Linked DNA regions of Saccharomyces cerevisiae S288C. Changing the gene in region 2 together with the main gene of any one other region gives a genetic interaction. Each region holds a gene or a part of one and is shown on either strand. Other genes may lie near its edges. The genes, in order: FZO1, MDM36, MFB1 and DPC29.

Evidence for each region.
Region 1: of MDM36 (region 2) and FZO1, changing one suppresses a phenotype caused by changing the other (phenotypic suppression), as found in Saccharomyces cerevisiae (one study listed by BioGRID).
Region 3: mutations in MDM36 (region 2) and MFB1 together harm fitness more than expected from each alone (negative genetic interaction), as found in Saccharomyces cerevisiae (2 studies listed by BioGRID).
Region 4: mutations in MDM36 (region 2) and DPC29 together harm fitness more than expected from each alone (negative genetic interaction), as found in Saccharomyces cerevisiae (2 studies listed by BioGRID).

The regions. Positions count from the first base shown.
Region 1 is NC_001134.8:585,450-591,618, forward strand, and holds FZO1 (mitofusin), read right to left. Parts: upstream 3,666-6,169; coding exon 1,098-3,665; downstream 1-1,097. Other genes in the region: EHT1 (medium-chain fatty acid ethyl ester synthase/esterase), read right to left, coding at 1-713; DTR1 (Dtr1p), read left to right, coding at 4,292-6,010. UniProt on the Saccharomyces cerevisiae protein: Essential transmembrane GTPase, which mediates mitochondrial fusion.
Region 2 is NC_001148.4:702,883-708,165, reverse strand, and holds MDM36 (Mdm36p), read right to left. Parts: upstream 3,313-5,283; coding exon 1,573-3,312; downstream 1-1,572. Other genes in the region: YPR084W (uncharacterized protein), read right to left, coding at 1-1,194; U4/U6-U5 snRNP complex subunit DIB1, read left to right, coding at 3,510-3,941; GRS2 (putative glycine--tRNA ligase), read left to right, coding at 4,196-5,283. UniProt on the Saccharomyces cerevisiae protein: Involved in mitochondrial distribution and morphology.
Region 3 is NC_001136.10:904,955-910,239, forward strand, and holds MFB1 (Mfb1p), read right to left. Parts: upstream 1,899-5,285; coding exon 501-1,898; downstream 1-500. Other genes in the region: septin SPR28, read right to left, coding at 1-98; GTB1 (Gtb1p), read left to right, coding at 2,376-4,484; YDR222W (uncharacterized protein), read left to right, coding at 5,100-5,285.
Region 4 is NC_001139.9:525,189-529,656, reverse strand, and holds DPC29 (post-initiation translation factor DPC29), read right to left. Parts: upstream 2,026-4,468; coding exon 1,153-2,025; downstream 1-1,152. Other genes in the region: MTL1 (Mtl1p), read right to left, coding at 1-393; VMA7 (H(+)-transporting V1 sector ATPase subunit F), read left to right, coding at 2,328-2,684; UGA1 (4-aminobutyrate transaminase), read right to left, coding at 3,013-4,428.

The DNA.
Region 1 (6,169 bases), on a different chromosome or scaffold from region 2:
TCTGGATGTCTTTGCTTTTCTCTTTGCAAAAACTCGCGAATATCCATTGTGTGATAAGCTGTAAATAAATTTCTGGTGGTAATTTTGGAACGTGCACAACCTCTGGTATTTAGGACGACCACTTGAAATCTCCCACTGCGAGACAGGTTTTCAGCAAGAGATCTTATAATCGGCTCATGACTACCACCAGCAAGACCATGTAGAATAACTACTAGGGGTAGATCAACCTCCCGTAGTTCTTCCAACTCATTATCTTTCAGGTACCTTGTACGTGGTTGTAAACGAGGCCATCCTTCTGGATGTGTCGCCTTCTCGTCTTTATCAAATTTTTTTTTATCAAAGCTCGTAGTACTTTGATCGAATTCATAATCCTTTTTCCATGAATCTATGAGCCAGTCAGCGGTGCAAACTCCACCATCCGAGAATTTGACAATTTCCCTGCCGTAGAATACAGGAAATTTCTTAGAGAAATCAGCAGCACCTAAGTACAAAGTTTGCAAAATACCTGTGAACAAGTAAGGACTCAATTTGAATTGGGCACCATTCTTCAACGTTGGGACATATTTGTTAGCGAACTCGTCAAAATCAACTTGCTCCTTGTTGTCTTTTAAATGGAGTTTAATGGAACCATTTTCACCGACAATATGCGAAACTGTACCATTGTATCCCCAATGGAATGGGTTGATTGCTGGCCATTTGGAAACTTCTGACATATCGGAAACTTTTATGAGCTTTGTTTTTTACGCAACTACTATCAATGTAATAATAGAACTTAAAAAACTGCTCATATTAATAATAAACGGAGGAAATACTCGAGGAGCTATTACTTCCAGGGACATCCGATATCTGACGCCTTTTAAAATCTGCACATGCGCAAGATTTAAAAAAAAAAAAGGATCTCGGAACCGGAACGAGATTGCTCATTTTTCGTTCCGTTTCCGCAGGTTTTGCAAATCATTAAGCAGATACACAAGGGTCCTTTTAATGTTTATGTAATTTCGTGCAAAGTGAAAAAAAAAATGGACCTGCTTGGAATAAAATAATAAGTAACATTATGTATATTGATTTGAAAAGACCTCATATATTTACAAGAATATCTAATCGATGTCTAAATTTATTTCTTCCACCATCAATTTTTGAGCCACGGTTCCTTCGTATAGAGATTGGAAGAATTTGATTGACAACAAGTTACTTTCTTTTTTGTTTTCCAATTCTTTCTTAGTGATTTGTTTTTTATCCATAATTATTTCACACGACCTTAGAATTTCACGTGTAGGTACACGCAAAACATCACGTACTTCATTTGAGGTTCTTTGAGCGTTAAGATGAATGTAATCCAGTTCTTGCAACTTTCTTTTGTATTTAATGGAAAGATTCATTGGTAAGGCACGGGGGAGGTCATGAATTAAATACGTAAGTCCCAACAAGGAACCTACCACTATAACCGGAACTGATAACTTCTTGAGTGAGCTCCACGACGATAATTTAATGCCGTTTAATATAATGTTCCCCACAACCTTTGTACTTCCTAGAAAGTACAGCGTTAGAGTGGGAATTTTTGATGTGAAGAGCAATGATGGTCTTGACCAATATTGTGTCAAAGGATAATTTTTCAAACCCAAATACTTCATTAGGCCAATCTGACCCTCGTTAGTTTGTCCTTCTATATCCGGCAGTGGTGCTGTGACAGGTTTCTGCCAGCTTAAGTAAGACAAAAAGCCTTTCCAAGTTGGAGCAAACAAATCAGTTATTGACAAAGATACTTTAAGCCTTTTTCCTATCAAATGCTTCCTTTTTCTAAACATTAGTTCGCTTCTGAAAACACGTTCACACATGAAATCATCACCAAGTTCATTTTTTCCAATCTCATAAATTTTTTTTACCAGTAAATCTGTCTTTTGCTTGGCAAATAATTCACTTGATCCTATTGACTCATCAATCTGATTTGCTATGAACGCTTCTGTTGAAAATATGAAGTCATAAATTTGACCGAGGCCCTGATATTTCGGATATTCGTGTAGCGGAACATCCAACGCATTGAGAAGTGCTTCTTTAGTATTGTTATAAGTCATTGTAATTGTTTGCTCGGCCATTTGATCAACGGAAGTTGTTAAATCATTGCACTTTGCTCTAGCGCTCAAAATTTCAGGTCTCAATGTTTCCAGTTGTTCGTTAATTTTTATTTCTTCTTCACTATACATTTTCATATTAGATTTGGAGATCATTATTATATCGCTTAATAATTTCGATAGATAAGTCTTGGCAGGTAACAATTTAGAAAGTGATCTTTTCTTCAAAACAAAATTGCGTAGAGAATCTTCCAGACTGTCAAAATCCGGATCGGGATCGCTGCTAGAATATGGGTCGTCGTCAGGTTTTCGGTCACCATGATCTTCATTGTCATTTTCATTATGATAATGTGGCAATTCATCTCCGTTTTTGGAAACAAAGTGGACAAAATCAGCTGCACGTTTATATGTTTCTGGGGACAGGTCACGGATTTGCTTTAGGATCAACTCCTTACAACGTTGTTTGTCCCTGATTTTGTCAAATTTTTTCACAACAAAAAACATTAATTTTTTCTCACGAGATGCTAAAGAAATAAACTCCTTGGCAGATAGTGTTAGCTGGTTCTCTGCATTGACAACAAATATAACTAAGTCGATTTCTTCTTGTCGGGACATTACTTCGGCGGTTTGTAACGAGTCCATGTTCAACCCAGGGGAGTCAATTAATGAAATATCAACAGTACCATTCCTTAATAGACTAGTAGAGGCAGGCCTTTTATCGTCCTTTATGTAAATCTTCAGTAAAGCATATTTTCCGTTTTGGGGAACCAAATCGGGAAGTTCTTTCAAAGTGTGTATTTCATAAGTCTTGGGATTTTGTATTGAATACATATCAATGGCTTCCTTGAGAGTCGGAGCAATGTTTAGTGGTATGGCATGAACCTCCTCTATGCCGTCATTTTCCCGAGCCTCTAGTATTTCGGAAAATACATTGGTACATGGTAGCTGATCCTCAGGTAGCAAACGCTGCTTTAATAGAGAGTTGCAAAGAGCTGATTTACCAGTATTTACATCACCTGTGATGAATACTTTAGATGAAACGTCATCCACTCTTTTTTTCAAAGCGTTTAAATGATTTGTCACTGATACGATCTGAGAGTGAAATAATTTTGATAAAGCTTTTTTCTCAATGTTGAAACCGTTCTTTTCTTTGGTATTGTACTGACCATCTAGCTTGATATTCAGTTGTAGAACATGTAATTTTTCCCGTTCATCATTTGCAGCAATAAAAATCGGGCGAATATTATTTTCTTCTTGAAGTTGATCCATAAAAGCTTGTGTCTTTAATATAGATCTTTTTAAAAGTACTCTATTGTTGTTATAATTCCACTGGCTAAGTTGTGAAGAAATTAAGTGTGCTTTTGAGTTGGAGGAACGCAATGAGGGCAACAAATCATCCTCCCTACGCCCCTCTTCACCATCAAACAAAGTGGTACGGTCATCAGTTACTCCATGGAAATTACTGCCTAAAAAATGACCTTCGTTGCGTGAGTAAGTAAGAGTTTGTGGTACTATTGTGGCGGCATCATCGTCCTGATCTGTGGAGTCCTTGTGCGGTTTATTGCTGTCTTTGAATTGTTGTTTTCCTTCAGACATCGTTAAATGAGCCTACCGTTTTGCCTCTATCCGTGATATCAGATAATGTTGCTATGTTCGGATGTACTTTGCTTTATTTATTAAGGGCTACTGTAACCTGCGTTATCCTGTTTCAATAATGCATCGTCCGTCTTAATTAATATTAGCCCGGCCATATTCTTCAGCATGAAAAGCTGTATTTACCCGGACTGCGCACCAACTTTTAAATATTAATCTCCGTTCGGTCTTTGCGCGAGTTATTATACTAGCGCCACGTATTAGTAATACTATAGCTATCTTGCCAGATAAGGGATCACAAGGAATTATATACCGTGGATCACAACTATCCATATCACTCTTCCCAATTTCGCGGAGAAATACTTATGCAGGTTTCCAAATCATTTCCGTAGCCAAAGCTGCCTGTTGGCCACTGTTTTGGCATCTCTCTACATTTTTTTTTTTCATTGATACTTTCAACCCAGACATTCTGTCACCTGGTGAAAAACGACACAAACTCCTTTGTAACAACAATTGCAATTTTAAGATATATGAGAATATTGATAAGGCTAGAAGGATGGTAGTAAGAAAAGTTGTTGTTGGTAATTTTTCAAAAAAGAGTTTCAAGAGCTGGGAAAAGAATTAAGGCAATGGGAAGCGAACCGTTTCAGAAAAAGAATTTGGGTCTGCAAATTAATTCGCAAGAAAGTGGAACAACCCGCTCAACATTTCATTCGCTAGAAGATCTAGGAGATGATGTAATTAATGAAAGCTGGGATCAGGTGAACCAAAAGAGAGCCAATATAGATCATGATGTCTTTCATGAGCACCCTGACTCTTCCCCATCATTGTCAGCACAGAAAGCAAAAACAAAAGAAGAGGAAGTTGCTGTAAAGTCATCGAACTCCCAGTCAAGAGACCCTTCTCCTGATACTCAAGCACATATTCCATATACTTATTTTTCCAAGGATCAAAGACTAATCATTTTTGGAATTATCATTTTTATAGGATTTTTGGGCCCAATGTCTGGAAACATATATATACCGGCTTTACCATTGCTGCAAAGGGAATATGATGTAAGTGCAACAACAATAAACGCTACAGTTTCTGTATTTATGGCTGTTTTTTCCGTTGGTCCATTGTTTTGGGGCGCACTGGCGGATTTTGGTGGAAGGAAATTCTTATATATGGTGTCGTTATCACTAATGTTAATTGTTAATATACTTTTGGCCGCTGTACCAGTCAATATTGCTGCCCTTTTTGTTTTAAGAATTTTCCAAGCTTTCGCTTCCAGCTCTGTGATTTCTCTGGGAGCTGGCACTGTAACAGACGTTGTTCCTCCAAAACACAGGGGAAAGGCCATAGCGTATTTCATGATGGGTCCAAACATGGGTCCTATTATAGCACCCATTGTTGCTGGGCTTATTTTAATGAAAGGAAATTACTGGAGATGGCTTTTTGGTTTCACTTCTATCATGACAGGAATAGCATTGATCTTGGTTACTGCTTTACTTCCAGAAACGCTACGTTGTATAGTTGGTAATGGAGACCCTAAATGGGGTGACAAAAAAGATGAACGTGAAAATAACGAATCTCCATTCTTCGAAGGTAATAAAATATCACATCGGCGTCTGTTCCCAGACATTGGTATCCGTAAACCAGTCAATAATGATGCTTTCTTCCAAGAAAATTTTCCAAAGCCGCCTAAAGCAGGTTTGACACTATATTGGAAAATGATTAAATGTCCTCCAATAATAATCACGTCCGTCAGTACTGCACTCCTGTTCTCCAGTTACTATGCGTTCAGCGTCACGTTTTCGTATTACCTTGAACATGACTACCGTTTTACTATGTTAGAAATTGGTGCTGCTTATGTCTGCCCAGGTGTAGCTATGTTACTAGGATCTCAATCTGGTGGGCACCTCTCAGATTATCTTCGTTCACGCTGGATCAAAAGTCATCCTAAAAAGAAATTCCCGGCAGAGTTTCGTTTATTACTGAACCTAATTGGAATTTTACTAACAATATGTGGCACAATAGGATACGGATGGGCAATCTTCTTTCATTATCATTTTGTGGTTCTTTTAGTTTTTTCCGCTCTCACTGCCTTTGGTATGACCTGGTGCAGCAACACATCAATGACATATTTAACTGAGTTATTCCCCAAAAGAGCTGCTGGAACTGTTGCTGTTAGTAGTTTCTTTCGAAATGTGGGCGCTGCCATTAGTTCCGCTATCATTTTACAGCTCTGTAACGCAATGGGAATTGGATGGTGTTTTACAGGGCTCGGTCTCTGCAGTTCAATTTCATTGATTGGTATATTATATCTTCTCATTTTTCAAAGAAAATATACTGCCAAAGAATTTTAAGAAATAGTTTATGTTTAGCTATAAAATTTAACTTTTAGAATTTTATTATATTATTTAACTTTCAAGAAAATTTTCTCATCACTCATCCCAAGGACTTCAAGAAATAGAACAATGCATCATAAGTTTATGAATTACGTGCATTTGGACCTTCAAAGAATA
Region 2 (5,283 bases):
CGCCACATCGACATTTAAATCATCCATGCTGTCTATTCCAACAAATCCATATTTCCATTTTGTTGCTAGTTGTCTTCCCATTTCAATCAACATTGGGCTTGCGAGTTCATGATTAACGTGAGAACAGACGATAATGCATGGTGGTGGTGAATCGGGAGATGAGGGGTCTAACTCGATGGATTTTAGTTTGGTATTATAGGATCTCAATTGCTCTATTTTGGCGCTTTTCTCTTTGCTATTTTTACTCCATAGATGTCTCAGGCTGTAAACCAATGAGTAAATATCATCCTCTTTGCCTTCCTCCCATCTTTTTTCATAATTTCGAAATTCAGTCCAAGCATCTAGTATGCAGTTTCTAATCACTTTTAAAAGTTCAAATCCACCATCGCTGACGTTTTCCGTATCTGTGTTCATCACATCATCTCCATATTCCGGAGGGCCTCCAATATGGTTTAATTCAGGGACTGCGCTATACACCAAGATATAACCGTCAACTTTACCATTCAACTCAGAGGCACCAGAGGCAACCAATAGTGAAGTAGTAGATACAGGTCGTCTTGGTTCATCTGCTAGTCCATGTAGGATTGATTTTCCTAAATTTCGGAAGAGAGAAACTTCTAAGAACGGCACCACATTATCAGGACTGAAGCCAGGCGTATCAATAATATCAATCTGGATTGGTGCATAAGTGGGTGGAATGTAATTCAGGGGCAATTTAAAATGCTCGATAACGTTAAGCTGGTCTGCCTTGATTTTAGGAACACTTTGAGAGTTAATGTCATTGGAAAAAGTTTGATACAGCGGAGAATCAGATTTATCCAAAGATAGGGATCTCCTGGAGTGGCTTTTGTTGTGTAACCTCACTGATTGAAAATTATCAGTGGAAGCTTGAAACACCAATGGCGACAGCAGTACATTTTTGGAGACCTGAGGTGAAGGGAAGATAGGCTCTAAGGTTTGGCTGCTTGGGGAACGAAGGCAAAGTCTTTCGTGAGCTTGTTCGTCTAATATAGCTCTGGCCAGGATCGATGACGGAACAAAGCCGAAAAGCCAGTTAGTTTGGTTTCTTGTTGGATAATGAACCTCGTGGACGATATTAACAGTAAGCCTAGATACCAGGGAGGTCTTTCCGGTAGAAGTGCCCCCCAGAACGGCCAGCCGTATGGGTCTCTCTTCAGAAGCCTTCTCTGACATTTCTATAAAGCTCTATGATGGACGAGTCAAGAGAATAAAAGCTTGGCTGCGTCTTATTGAACTCTTGGGATAGGAAACAACGTACAGAGTTCTAAAAACACAACAGTTTATTGATAGTTAGTTTTGCATCGATGTTATTAGTGTTTTTCAACTGGTTCACTATTTTTCAGGCTTAAACTCGCTGCGATGGGATTAAAAAATAAAAGATGGATGTGAGTAGTATTTGGACTTCGCAAAGACATACGCACAAAACTATTGTCGAGAGGATGCATGCATTGGTTGTTATATGTGTTATGTATGATAAAAGTCTTGCTTTGTATTTATGTACTCAACCCTCGCATTTAGTTTGTTTACATAGCAATGATATCCTTATTCTTATCAAGTATTTTGTGAAGAAGGTTGATTGGATTTATAAGATTTCGATACCGGACCACCACCGATACCATACAAAGTATTCAGAACATTGCTGTGAAACCCAATGTGGTTTGTTGGAATAAGTTTTGTGCCGTTGAGGCCAGATCGCGATTGGTTCAACCATTGCGACATATTGTTCTTCAGCGTTTGCGATTGTGATTCCAATAATGAAGAGGAAGGAGACAGTGGTAATGTACTCATACGAGAACTTGATTGTGATGGCGCCGTGGATATAAAGGACGATGACATCGGAGGAGACGGTGATGCTAATGTGGAGTTTTGGGAGATGATGGAGGATACACTTGAAGACATAGCATGTTCATTCCGTCGTATATTTGAATCAGTATCTTTCGTGCTATGTTTGTTATCGTTTACTTTGCATGCGTTTTGCAATTCTTGTTCTAGTCTTCTTGCGTTGTTGAAGGCAGTTAATAAGCTAGGAAGTTGTTTCTGCAGAGAAGTCCTTTGCATCATCAATGACATATCTGACGTGGAAGAGGATAACCTTCTTCCATCTAGACGATCGATTTCTCCGTTTGATAAATTGTCGCTATCTGATGAGTTAATAGGAGTCAAATCATGTGTCAACATGGATGCATCCACAATGCTATTGACAAATGAGCTGATATCTTCGATTTCCTTTGTCTCATCAATAACGGGAAGGTTATTAGTATGATCGTTCTCCGATGTCGACGATGGTGATAGTAGTCTTTCTTGTAATGCTTTGTTTTCGTTCAAAAGCCAATTCAGGTTTAAAGAGTTGTACATCGATTCTATATCCAAAAAAACGTGTAAACATTCTTCAAACAAAGAGGAGGATGGAGATCCCGATTCGGAGTCCTCCAATTGTTGAATAAATATCTTAATGAACGCTCTGTATGATTTTATTGTTTCTGCCAATTTCAGTTCGTTCTCATTATTAACCGTTTCGTGCTCGTTTTGCTCCTGTAAAAAATGCCATATGGTCACTAATTCATGATCAATAAGCAAAAGTTTGGACCTAACAAAGATACCTGCAATCTTCATCCTTAGACGGCGCAATCTCTTCATAGAGTAGATCCAACACTCTAATAACAGGGTCATCGAATTCTGCAAAAGCCTGTCAACCCTGTTGTCTTCTATTGTATTGGACATTATGAAATCTCTAATTTGGTCAATGTCCCTTGACAGCGACTCAAGTGCAAGGGAAGACTTCTCGCATTTTTTGATGCATTTTAAGCTTAAATCTTTATAAAAGCTATCGTCCAGATTACCATTATGATTATCATCATCATCGTCGCCGCTATCACCGGCGCTATTCTTATTTCCACCAGACGTTTCTACTTCAAATTGAATTAAGACACTCTTGTGAAGGGATCTGATATACCATGATTGGTGAATAACAAACTCTAGCTTGATAATATCCGCTAATATCTTAACTAGAGCATCGCATTTGTTCAAAGTAGCTTTGGATAAATGCAAATCTTCCTCATCATTCAGCATAGATTTTCCCTCCACCTTGCGTTTTTCTTCACTAATCATTGAAGTTATCCAGCTAGTGTTGCGATTACCATTGATATCAGTATCTTCCTCGTCTGCAGAATCATTGAGACCAGCCCTATGAAATTTGCTAACGATGGGATCCTTATCCATATTTGACCTCGAATTTCCCGAATTGAGTCCCTTTAATTCATAGCCAGGCTTTACTGTACCGTTTTCATCCATGCTATAGTAGTAAGTGTTCTCTCTGGAGGGTTTTTAACTGTTTCTTTGCTGTTGTACAGTTTACTGCGAGGAGATGACTCGTTGTATTTCTTTTGGGCCAATGACCGCTTCGCAAAGTGGAAAAACAGAACTTACATACCAAATTCGATCATCGGATAGAAATAGTACGTAGAGAAAGAGTAAGAAGTCAAGTTTTGATGGCTAGTGTTTTGTTGCCTCAATTGCGTACGGGATGGCATGTGGATCAGGCTATTGTTACCGAGACTAAACGACTTGTTGTCATTCGTTTTGGTCGCAAAAATGATAGACAATGTATGATCATGGACGAGTTGTTATCTTCGATTGCTGAAAGAGTAAGGAACTTTGCAGTTATTTATTTATGTGATATAGATGAAGTTTCAGATTTTGATGAGATGTACGAGCTGACGGATCCCATGACAGTAATGTTTTTCTACCACAATAAGCACATGATGTGTGATTTTGGTACAGGGAACAACAACAAGTTGAACTTTATTGTAGACGACAAACAAGAAATGATTGACATATTAGAAACTATATTCAGAGGTGCCAGGAAGAACAAAGGGCTGGTGGTCTCTCCATACGATTATAATCATAAGCGTGTTTCATAATTCATAATAACTATGTAGGCTAGGCGCACGATGTCTTAACAATTCAGTGAGTAAGTAATGAATAACCTTGACAGAATATAAAAGGTCGAAGCATATTGATCAGTTCTGATGAACTGTTCGTATGAGGTCTAATTTATGAACCTGCGATAGTAGTTGCAACCCTTTTTTTCTTTTAGACAATGAAAGTGAAAAACGATAAATGTGATACATTAAAGAACATTTTGTTGGACTGTTGAAAGACATATCACATCAACATGCCGTTAATGTCCAATTCGGAAAGAGATAAATTGGAAAGTACATTGAGGAGAAGGTTTTTCTACACACCCTCGTTTGAGATATATGGTGGTGTGTCAGGTTTATTTGATTTAGGGCCTCCGGGTTGTCAGTTGCAAAATAACTTGATTCGACTGTGGCGAGAACATTTTATTATGGAAGAAAACATGCTTCAGGTTGATGGGCCAATGCTAACTCCTTACGATGTGTTGAAGACTTCTGGGCATGTAGACAAATTTACTGATTGGATGTGCCGAAATCCTAAGACTGGGGAATACTACAGAGCAGACCATTTGATTGAACAGACGTTGAAAAAACGGCTGTTGGACAAGGATGTCAATCCACAGGATATGAAAAATATGGAGAAAATATTGACCACGATTGACGGGTTTTCGGGTCCTGAGTTGAATCTCGTCATGCAGGAATATAACATTAATGATCCAGTCACTAACGATGTTTTAGACGCACTAACTTCCTTTAATTTGATGTTCGAAACTAAAATTGGAGCCTCAGGACAATTGAAGGCCTTTCTAAGGCCAGAGACTGCACAAGGACAATTTCTCAATTTCAACAAATTATTGGAAATCAACCAAGGGAAAATTCCGTTTGCTTCAGCTTCCATTGGTAAGTCATTCAGAAACGAAATTTCCCCCAGAAGTGGGCTTTTAAGGGTAAGAGAGTTTTTAATGGCAGAAATTGAGCACTTTGTTGATCCGTTGAATAAGTCACATGCAAAATTCAATGAAGTGTTAAATGAGGAGATTCCACTACTATCACGCAGATTACAGGAAAGTGGTGAAGTCCAACTGCCTGTGAAAATGACTATAGGAGAGGCAGTGAATTCTGGAATGGTAGAAAATGAAACATTGGGATATTTTATGGCAAGAGTTCATCAATTTTTGTTGAATATTGGGATCAACAAGGACAAATTCAGATTTCGCCAGCATTTGAAGAATGAAATGGCACACTATGCCACAGATTGTTGGGACGGTGAAATTTTAACATCGTATGGTTGGATTGAATGTGTCGGTTGTGCTGACAGGGCGGCTTTTGATTTAACTGTACACTC
Region 3 (5,285 bases), on a different chromosome or scaffold from region 2:
GACAACTGCAGTCCTTTCTTGTAACCCTTGCGACGTCTTAACTCATCTCTGCTGAGAGTATGTTGTTCAAGAGCTGAGTGATCTTTCATTGGGAACATTTGATTATTTACTGACTTTATGTACGTATAGTAGCTCTTTTTTTGTATCGATTTATAAAAATGCCTGTTCTTACTATTCTTATGGGAATGACACAAAATGTAGACGCATGTCTTTTTCAGGCGTCCTTAATATGAGCGATCAAATTTCGCATCAAAAAAACTTTATTGAAGTTAGAATATATGAAAAAAAGCCACGAAATTTCTAAAGGCAACCACAAATTGTCTTATTATTGATAGAATATAAAAAATAAGTCATTTATTTATATGTACATCTGTGCAAATGGTAGCGGCGCTCTTTAACTGTTTCTACATACCATGCATGCTTGTCTAAAACCATTTCGAAGTTCCGTTGCTAATTCAGAGAAAACTCTTCCAAGCAAAGTCGGTTTGAGGCGTTTTCTGTTATATATTAAAATCGGTATTAGCGTCAAGCCGTTTGATTACATGATCATTCGTATTCGACCCACTAGGGTTATCCAATTCGATTTTGCGATAGCATATCTTATTACCGTCTGTAACAACCGCCTTTAATTTGCTTCTTTGATGAGGTTTGGATAATTCTATTACTGGGGAAGTGTGACTTCTTTGAAATTTATTTTCATCATTTTTCTCTGTTATTCCTTTACAGTTCGAGCTATTTTCTTTTATAATTAATTGTTCATAATTTGCTATCTTTGTACTGTTGACTCTTTTAATTGCTAGAGGATTAGTTGTTTCACCGTTAAAATCGGGATAATGCCTTTCAATCTCCTCTAAATAACCTCTTGAGACGCTCCTTCTGCCAACTTTCGGTAGTATGTCAGAAGGGGGACTTATGATTTTCCTAAAATCTTCGTCATTAGCACTTAACGAACTGGATAATTTCAATCTTGGATTGTCCTTTTTCTTTGTTTTTAATGGTCTGCTATCTCTAAAAATTAACTTCTCAAAAAGTTCGGCTTTATCCTTGACTTTATTAGATTTTCTCAATCTTGTGATTGAGTCAGACGATTCAGTAGATGTAGGCGTCATCTCTTTATAATCAGGATCTCGTGACTTAGTGAAATCCATTGTAATATTATTCCAATCATCGTCCAGTAGTTTGGGCGATGAACTTGAAAATACAGAATTTGTTGAACTTCTAGAATAATTAGAAAATGTCGGAGAAGGGATAAAAGGTGGCTTTTTGACTAAGTCTTCTTCAAATGTTGTATTTTTTTCCAATCCGTGGAGAGAATGTATTTCTCCATTATTCTCCTCTATGTATGTATCATCAGAATCCGCTGAATGGGTCCTAAATGCTTTATCATTGAGTTCGATGAATTGATTCATTCCTTGTAGTATTGCAGTATGAGCGATTTGCTCCCTTGTTATTTCTGTAGGTTCGTTCAAATCCATATTTAAATCTTTCACAGAGCCCTTTTCTTTGCTCTCAACTTCATTTGTTCTATAACTTATTGTCTTTCTAGCCGGATCAATAACGCCTAGTTTATATTTCCGCTGAACATTTCTTAATGATGCGACCAGGGATATGTTGTGACTATTTAAGGTTTTCATTGCCTTTCTATTAAAATTCAAAACATCAAAGACATCAACAAGAACATTTTTTGTCCACCACATATTCCCGTTTGAGCCGATAACAGCATTTCTGTAAACAATGTTCTCATTCGCCAGCATCCTTAGCAAGGTGCAAGTTTTCCCTATGTTTTGTAAATCATTCATATCCAGGTGAGACAATATTCGGAACAATAGGTTTAATGGTAAGTTTGTCAGGGACCTTTCCTCCAGCGGCATCTGTACACTACAAGAAAATAATGTCATCTATGTGGTTGAAGGAACTATAACTAATTCTGGAACAAAAGTGAACTTTCCTTGTGCAGTTTGGCCAATTTGTTTTGATATTTTGTATGAGGATATTTAGCAAGTAGTAACAGAGACTCCTTGGTTATTTGAAAACTTTCCCTTTGTTTAAACTATAGCAAAGTATAACTTTCCTTTTCCTATTTTGTGAAAAAGTAAGTAAATATTGTTATCTCCTCCCAACTGGTTAAATACTGGGTAGGTGCACAAGCGTTTATAGTTTCTAAGAAGACAGCACCAGGAATAATGATAAACAGTTGTTTGGGTCAAAACAAAACGGGTATTGCCAATGCCTTTTAAAATACTTACCCGGCCATAAAATGAATAATAATAGTGTATGAAGACTGTGTTGGAAGATGTTATGGTAGAAGCAGAGGCTTCCGCACTGCATTTAAGAAGCATAAAGGCACTTCTGCTATTTCATTAAGAAGATTCGCTATGGTGAGCATGTTCTCATTATTTCTGCTATTAATTGAGCAATCGCCGCTTGTAGCGTCATTGCAACAAAGTCAACGGCATATAGTGGGTGTTCCCTGGGAAAAGCAGCACTTGTATGACTCGAATGAACCAGATTTGACTAAATGGCACTGTTTGAACCACGAAGATATCGTATTGGATATAAGCCAGATTAATGATGGGGTTTGTGATTGTCCTGATGGTTCAGATGAGCCCGGCAGCGCCGCCTGCGTGGAAGATATATTCAAAAGCGTTGCAGAGGGAGGTGGTAAAGTGAATAAGTATTTTTATTGTGATAACAAGGGGTTTATTCCAAGATATATACGAAAATCGGAAGTCGCAGATGGTATTTGTGACTGCTGTGACTGTTCTGACGAGCTACTTTCTGGATATGAGCTCTTTGATGCTGGATCTAATTGTTCTCAGTTAAAAAACGAATTTGACATTATGGCCTCTAAAGAGTTATCAAGTTACCGGGAAGGTAAAGAGGCCCTAGAAGAACTGGAAAGAAAATACGGTACAAAGGAAGAGGCTATCACCCGTGGTAATTGCTTAGAAGAAGATAAGGAAAAAGCTTCTGCCGAGATAAAAGTACTCTCCAACAGGCTCTCAGAAAATCGAGCCAAATTAGAGCAGTTGAGAGGCGAGTACTTTAACCAATTAAGCCATGATCCCATTTTGTATCAATTTGAACAATTAAACAGTACTCGTTTGGGATCGGACATCCTTACATCGTTCACTATGGTTTCAAGAGTAAGTAAAGGTTACCAGGACATATTCAAGATTTTAAGTGATTTATCAGAGGCCTATACTCCCTCGCTAAATGATAAAGTTGTCAATGATAATATTAAAAAATTCAGAAAAGTTAGAAGACGGGCTGAAAAGGCTAAAATTAATGCAGATAGCAAAATTGATGATGAGCAGGCAGATAATCTTTACTTGTACTTTACAGAAGAAGTACCTCAAATTTTTTTGAAAAGAGAATCTGAGAACACGTTGAGGTACGTCATAGGAAAATCCAATTTTGTTCAAGCGCTAGTGGAGGGTAAAATTAACTATACCAACGATATCTTGGAGTATATCAGAGAATTCCGTTTGATTATGGATGATATTTCTCAGAATTACAATGTTAACTTTCAAGATGCAGGGGTCAAAAGTGCTGTCGATTCGTATAAAAACTACCTAGGTGAATACGGCGAACTGGCTGAATTAGAACCAGCTCACCCGTCAGAGAGCCTTTTGAGATCGTTGAGCGAAGTAACATCATTTGTGAACGAGAATGCACCAAAGGTATTGCCACCAGACGCTGTTGAGTCAGAACAAGATACGAACAGCGATCATATCGGTACTTCTGGAGATTTGCGCAATAAACTCAAAGAGATTCTATCTAAGCTGAATATTTTTTCATCTAGAAAAGATTTGGTCTCATTAGAGAAGAGATTCCGCTCTTGTGAAAGTCAAGTCAGTCTCCTGGAGAATGAATTAAAGCAAAAAATGGACTATAAGAAATTATTAGATGAAACTGAAGATGAAGGAACTAATTCTACTGCAGGAAATCTGACTGAGCTTTTAGAACTAATGGGATCACAATCCTATTGTCTTGACGACATACTGGACAACTATGTGTACACTATATGCTTTCAACGTCCAATGACCGAAGGTGTCATATATCAAGCTGAGGATAAGGTTGACGGTAAAAAAGTTTTGATCGGTCGTTTTAAGACATCAGGTTTTAATGTTGACTTAAACATGGAAAAATACGCAGAACATTTAAAGGCCACATATGATGAGAAGAGTGATTTGATTTCAAACTTAGCAGCTATACAGGACGATGACGGTAACATGCAACATTACGTATTCGGGAACTTAAACGAACTGAATAATGGTCTGGTACTAGAATACGAAAATGGAGACCAGTGCTGGAATGGTCCGCGCAGATCGGCTACTGTATTTGTTCGGTGCAGCGACAAATTCAAGATTCGGAGTGTACATGAAGCGACTAAGTGCAACTACATCTTCGATGTCGTTGGTCCTCTAGGCTGCAACAAGACTTTCGAATACGAGCCCCCTAAGTTCAATTTAAGTGAATGACTGGAAAATGAGTAGTTAGGCTTTTTTAGTAAGTAAACAACTAGGAAGGCCGATGCTGTGCCGTGATACTCTTTTCCGCAACAAAAGCAATATTTCCCTCGGCCAAAACGCGAAAAGACGATAAATAAGTATATCGTTCCAAATACTGATAGTTCTGTACGACCTGTTGGAATAACGCGAAAAGAAGGGTACGGCGTAATCACCCCACACGGCTTGTATTTTTTTCGGAGAACTAAGTCATAGACGTAATGCTAATTTTTCCGTCTAGCCGATGTTTATGCGGCTTTTATTTTTTTTTTTTTTTTTTTCTCATCTTTGTTCTTCCGGTTTCCAAGATGTCTCACAGATTATTACAGTGAATTCCAAAATCATGTTTACTACTGGAATTTGTATGCATATGTTTTGGCAATCTTAAGCCTACGGATTTTAAATGTGATGGATATAACGAACAGTGTTTACTGGAGACTCACTTCTCTGGGCTTGAGTTTACGATGTATAGTCATATAAAAATGAAGAAATTTCTTGAGTGACAATTGCCGCCGTACTTCGTATTGTCTTTTCTTGACAGTGAGGGCGTATAAGATACATCGTACATACATAGAGACTCATTTAGTGATGCTTGAATCGAGCAGTGATAAGATAAAGTTTGCGCCTATTAAAGAGGTAGATTACAAAAAACCGGTAAGTAAGAGTAAGAACTATACTCTTATTAATGACATCCAACCATTGGAGTGGTATTGTCACAATGATAGTGAAACGGGCTACCAACACACCATAAGTAACAAGACAGATGGTGGTAGA
Region 4 (4,468 bases), on a different chromosome or scaffold from region 2:
TATTGATGATGATGACGATGATGACGTAACCTCCGAAGAAGACGACGATGTTGAAGACGACGAAACTTGCATGGACGAAGAGGAAAGTTCTGAGGATAATGTTGACGAAAGAGTAAGCAGTGAAGAACTTTGTGGGAAGGAAGTAAAGGATACTGAAGCTATACTCGGCGTTGATAAACTTGCGCTGCTCGTTGCATCGGTACTGGACGTAAATGACTCAACTGCGGAAAGCGAAGTGATGGAAGGAGCTGTGCTCGATGTTGTGCTATTAGCTGGAACCAACTCCTGCGAAAGAACACTTAGCGGTAGTGTTGTTAACGCCATGAGAATCGTTCTCCACATAGATAGGCTTGAAGCAGAGCTCTTCTTCCTGGTCGGATTGCAGCTTGCCATACCTTAACTACTTATATTATACTAACTGGGAGTAAGTTAAAAGTGGAAACGAAGATCGAACCAACCCGAAATGAACTAGAAGTGTTTAAACAAATTTCGGAAGCAATGGAGGATTATATCCCAATTATCTCCTCGGAATATATCCTTATTATGCCTTGGTCTTCCAATATGGACCGAAGAGTACTTACAGTAAATAGCAGTATCCTTCGTTTTTCATCTACACTTTTCTACCTAAAATTGATCTTCCCGAAGAAGAAAAACTAAAAACTTCGATTTGATGACTGTCAAGACCCCAAGAAAGAGGGAAAAAAAAAAATGATATCTCATGCAACAACAAGTAATTAAGTGCTCCTTGTTCATGGAAGACACAACAGGCACCACTAATAACCTGAATGAGGCACCTTCGACTTTCGAGATGAGCCCTTAGTTCATCCTGGTGTTGTGTTTGAGAGGGGGAGAGCACATCATTGTACTTCCAGATCCCCCTAGCCATGATCTAATATTACCGCTGAGTAAAAATAGATCTCGGCTGCGTCTCCGTCTCCGCCCGCCTTCCGTCGGTTACTTCGTCGGTTCTTGCTCGACCCCCGCCAGTCCGCAGACAACAGTCCGCAGCAGGCAAGTGCTGGTGTCCGCTTGGTGTTTTTACGTACGATTGTCTTTGTTGTTGTTTTTACTCTTTATTACAGTTATTACTACTGTTTGTTTAGTATATACAGGTATTTGTGGTATTGATTATTTATTTACGGTTTGGTTGGATTAAGCGTTGCTAGCGTTAGTGTACAACGACGTCACTTCGTCGATGTCCTCGAGCGCTGTGGTCAGTTTCTGTAGTTTCTCGAGCGTTTCATCGCCTTGCACGAAAACTTCCATATCCGGCTTGGCATTGTAGCCGATGCCCAAGTCTCTGATGTGGAAACCACGCTCCTTCAGTAGGGCGGCCACCTTATTGGTATCGGCAGGTTCCATCACCGCCTCGTAAGTTTGGCCTGTAGTTTCAGTTTCGGTATCACACTCTAAATCTTCTGCGTCTTCCTGCACAGGCGCAATGTCTTCGATGCCTTGAATCTCCAGTACGCTTTCTAGCACCTTGTCCTCAGTGTCTAACATCTTCGGAGGTACCATTGTAACGTATCCTTTTTTGTCGAAGAAAAACAACGTTGGAGTCATCGATCCATTAGCTTTATTAAATGCACTCCTTATCAGACCTATGGTCCTGTTCTTGTTGTCTGTCAGCGCTTCCACCACTATAGCGACCCCGCCGGGCCCCATTCCCTCGTATACACATAGCTCAGAAGCGTTTGAGTCCTTGCCCGATGCGCTGCTTCCAGAAGCTTTCCGGATGGCGTTCTCAATAACTTTTTTGCTGACATTGTTTTTATTTGCTAGCTCGATGCTGGTGGCTAATCTTATATTCATGCTCGGATCCGTAATACCGTTGCCTAACTTGACTGACATTGCTATCTGGTTTGCAAACTTGTTATTAATTTTGTTTCGTTCCGCATCATTCTTGGCTTTACCGTGCTTGATGGTTGACCATTTGTTGTGACCTGAACGTACCGAGGAATTCAGCACACTAAACGATCGAGAGTTTTTGAGCAGTTCACCCAGATACCTATTTCTTACCAACATTTTCCAATTTTTGATGCGTTCATACCAAGTTTGCTGTTTTTCTTAGTTATTATCATCATCTTTCCCCTTATTGCTGCTGAAACTTGCGTACGTGCGTACTAAAAAAATTTCACTGCGCTTACGCCGGTAAAGGGAAGTAGGAAAACGAAAGAAAAAAAAAAAATAAAGGCGAACGATAACAGGAAAACCAACGTGAATTGCAAGCACTACATTTATTATATCGAGTTGACAAAGAATTAAGAAAATAGAGCACTACATTTCTATATTCATAGCTAGTCTCACTGACGCATAGTAACTAAATCATGGCTGAGAAACGTACTCTTATAGCTGTGATAGCTGACGAAGATACTACAACTGGTTTATTGTTAGCCGGGATTGGACAAATCACTCCTGAAACCCAAGAAAAGAACTTTTTTGTTTACCAAGAAGGTAAGACTACTAAGGAGGAAATCACTGACAAGTTTAATCACTTTACTGAAGAGAGAGACGATATTGCCATCCTTCTAATCAACCAACATATCGCGGAAAACATAAGAGCTAGAGTGGACTCCTTCACCAATGCGTTCCCTGCTATTTTAGAAATTCCATCTAAAGATCATCCCTACGACCCTGAAAAGGACTCTGTATTGAAGAGAGTCAGAAAGTTGTTCGGTGAGTAAGCGAACGATCTTTCCCAAAACAAACACAATTACTGGTAGATTACTAGTAGCAGGCGGAGGTGGAGGGCGGGAGCCACTGTTATTGCGTTTGTATAATATATACACTCATAAATGATATATTTAAGGTTCAGATAAAAACAACTTTTTTTTTTTTAGCACGTCTTTACTGCAGTCACCAAACCCATTTTTTTTTTCCTATTGTGAATACCCGCCCATATTTTTCACACACAACTGATGAGTAATATAAAACTTTTCTTTAAAATTATAACAAGATACACATATATAAAGACCAAAAAAGGGAACGTGACACGGCCTCGCTAATATACAATCATAATTCATTAACTGATTTGGCTAATGCTTCAATAAAGATATCAGCATGCTTCTCCTCGAATGTTAATGAAGGTCTTAATCTCACTGCATGGACTGCACATCCACCAACGTTGCAACCATTCAACTTCAATTTCTTCAATAGTAAGTCTCTCTTCTCACCAGTAGGCAAATCCCAGGCAATGAATGTGCCTCTTCCTTTACCTCTCAAGTTTTGAAAGTTTTCAGGGTATTTCTTCTGCAAACCCTCCAATTTCTTGAACAAATAATCACCTACTCTTGAACATTGTTCAGTCAACTTCTTGTCGGAGATTTCCTGTCCAATGGCACCTGCAATGATCATTCTTGCAGGTTCACCACACCATGTGTTGAATTGTCTGTATGGTTTGTTTGGAATGAATTTAGGGTCGTGGAAGAAATATCCTGCACTTTGGAATTTCTTGGAAAAGGTCACTAAATCCACAGGTGGTTGAATATCGGCGTACTCATGACACCATAGCTTACCGGTGGCTCCGACACCTGTTTGCACTTCATCTATGATGTAGACAACGTTATACTTCAAGGTAATGTCTCTTAGCTTTTGTAAGAAATACTTAGAAGCGTGGTTATCACCTCCCTCAGATTGAATTGGTTCGATGATTAAGGCAGCAACTGGAATAGACCAGGTTTTGATTAATTCTTCAACAATGGCCAAGCAATGGTCATCCTCTTTACGGTTTGCATCAGAATTTTCATCTAATGGGTATTGGTAAGATGGATACTCAGCATGAGGCCAGTGGAAGGCTGGGAAATCCAACTTGTGAATTGGTTTAGAACAAGTTGTGGAACCGGAGGCAAACAATCTACCGTGGAACGCTCTCTTGAACGATAGTACGGCAAGATGAGGGGCGCCAGGGGCGTCATTGTCCATGACAGACAAGTTTTCCTTTTCAGAAAAATCGGCATCATAGCCCCTTTGTTTGGCACGGTAATAAATAAAGGCAGCCTTGAACGCTAATTCATTGGCATCTGCACCGGAAAGCCCTGACCAGACGTGATCTTGACCCTTTGGCGCAGATTTCAATATTTGCTTCAATATCTTGTCTAAATCCTTAGATGGGAAGTTACCTAAGGCAGGACGGTCGACCAAAGCACGGATCATTTCTGGTGATTGTGCTGCCTTGATCAAAGCAGGGTTGTTATAACCAAGTGCAATTGAAGAGATTTGGGCATACAAATCCAAATATGTGTTCCCATCCACATCAGTGATATAGTTACCTAAAGATTTCTCATAATCAGCCAAAAAATATGCTGGTCTTGTGTCAAAAACTTCACCCAGTTCCTTTAACTGCTTCTGGGATTCAGGACCAGGAATGGACTCGGTCTTAACAGTTGGTTTGGTTGGCTCTTCTGGGTAGTATTGTTCACAAATAGACATTGTTCTTAGTTATATTTCTTATTGACGGTTTCTTGTCTGT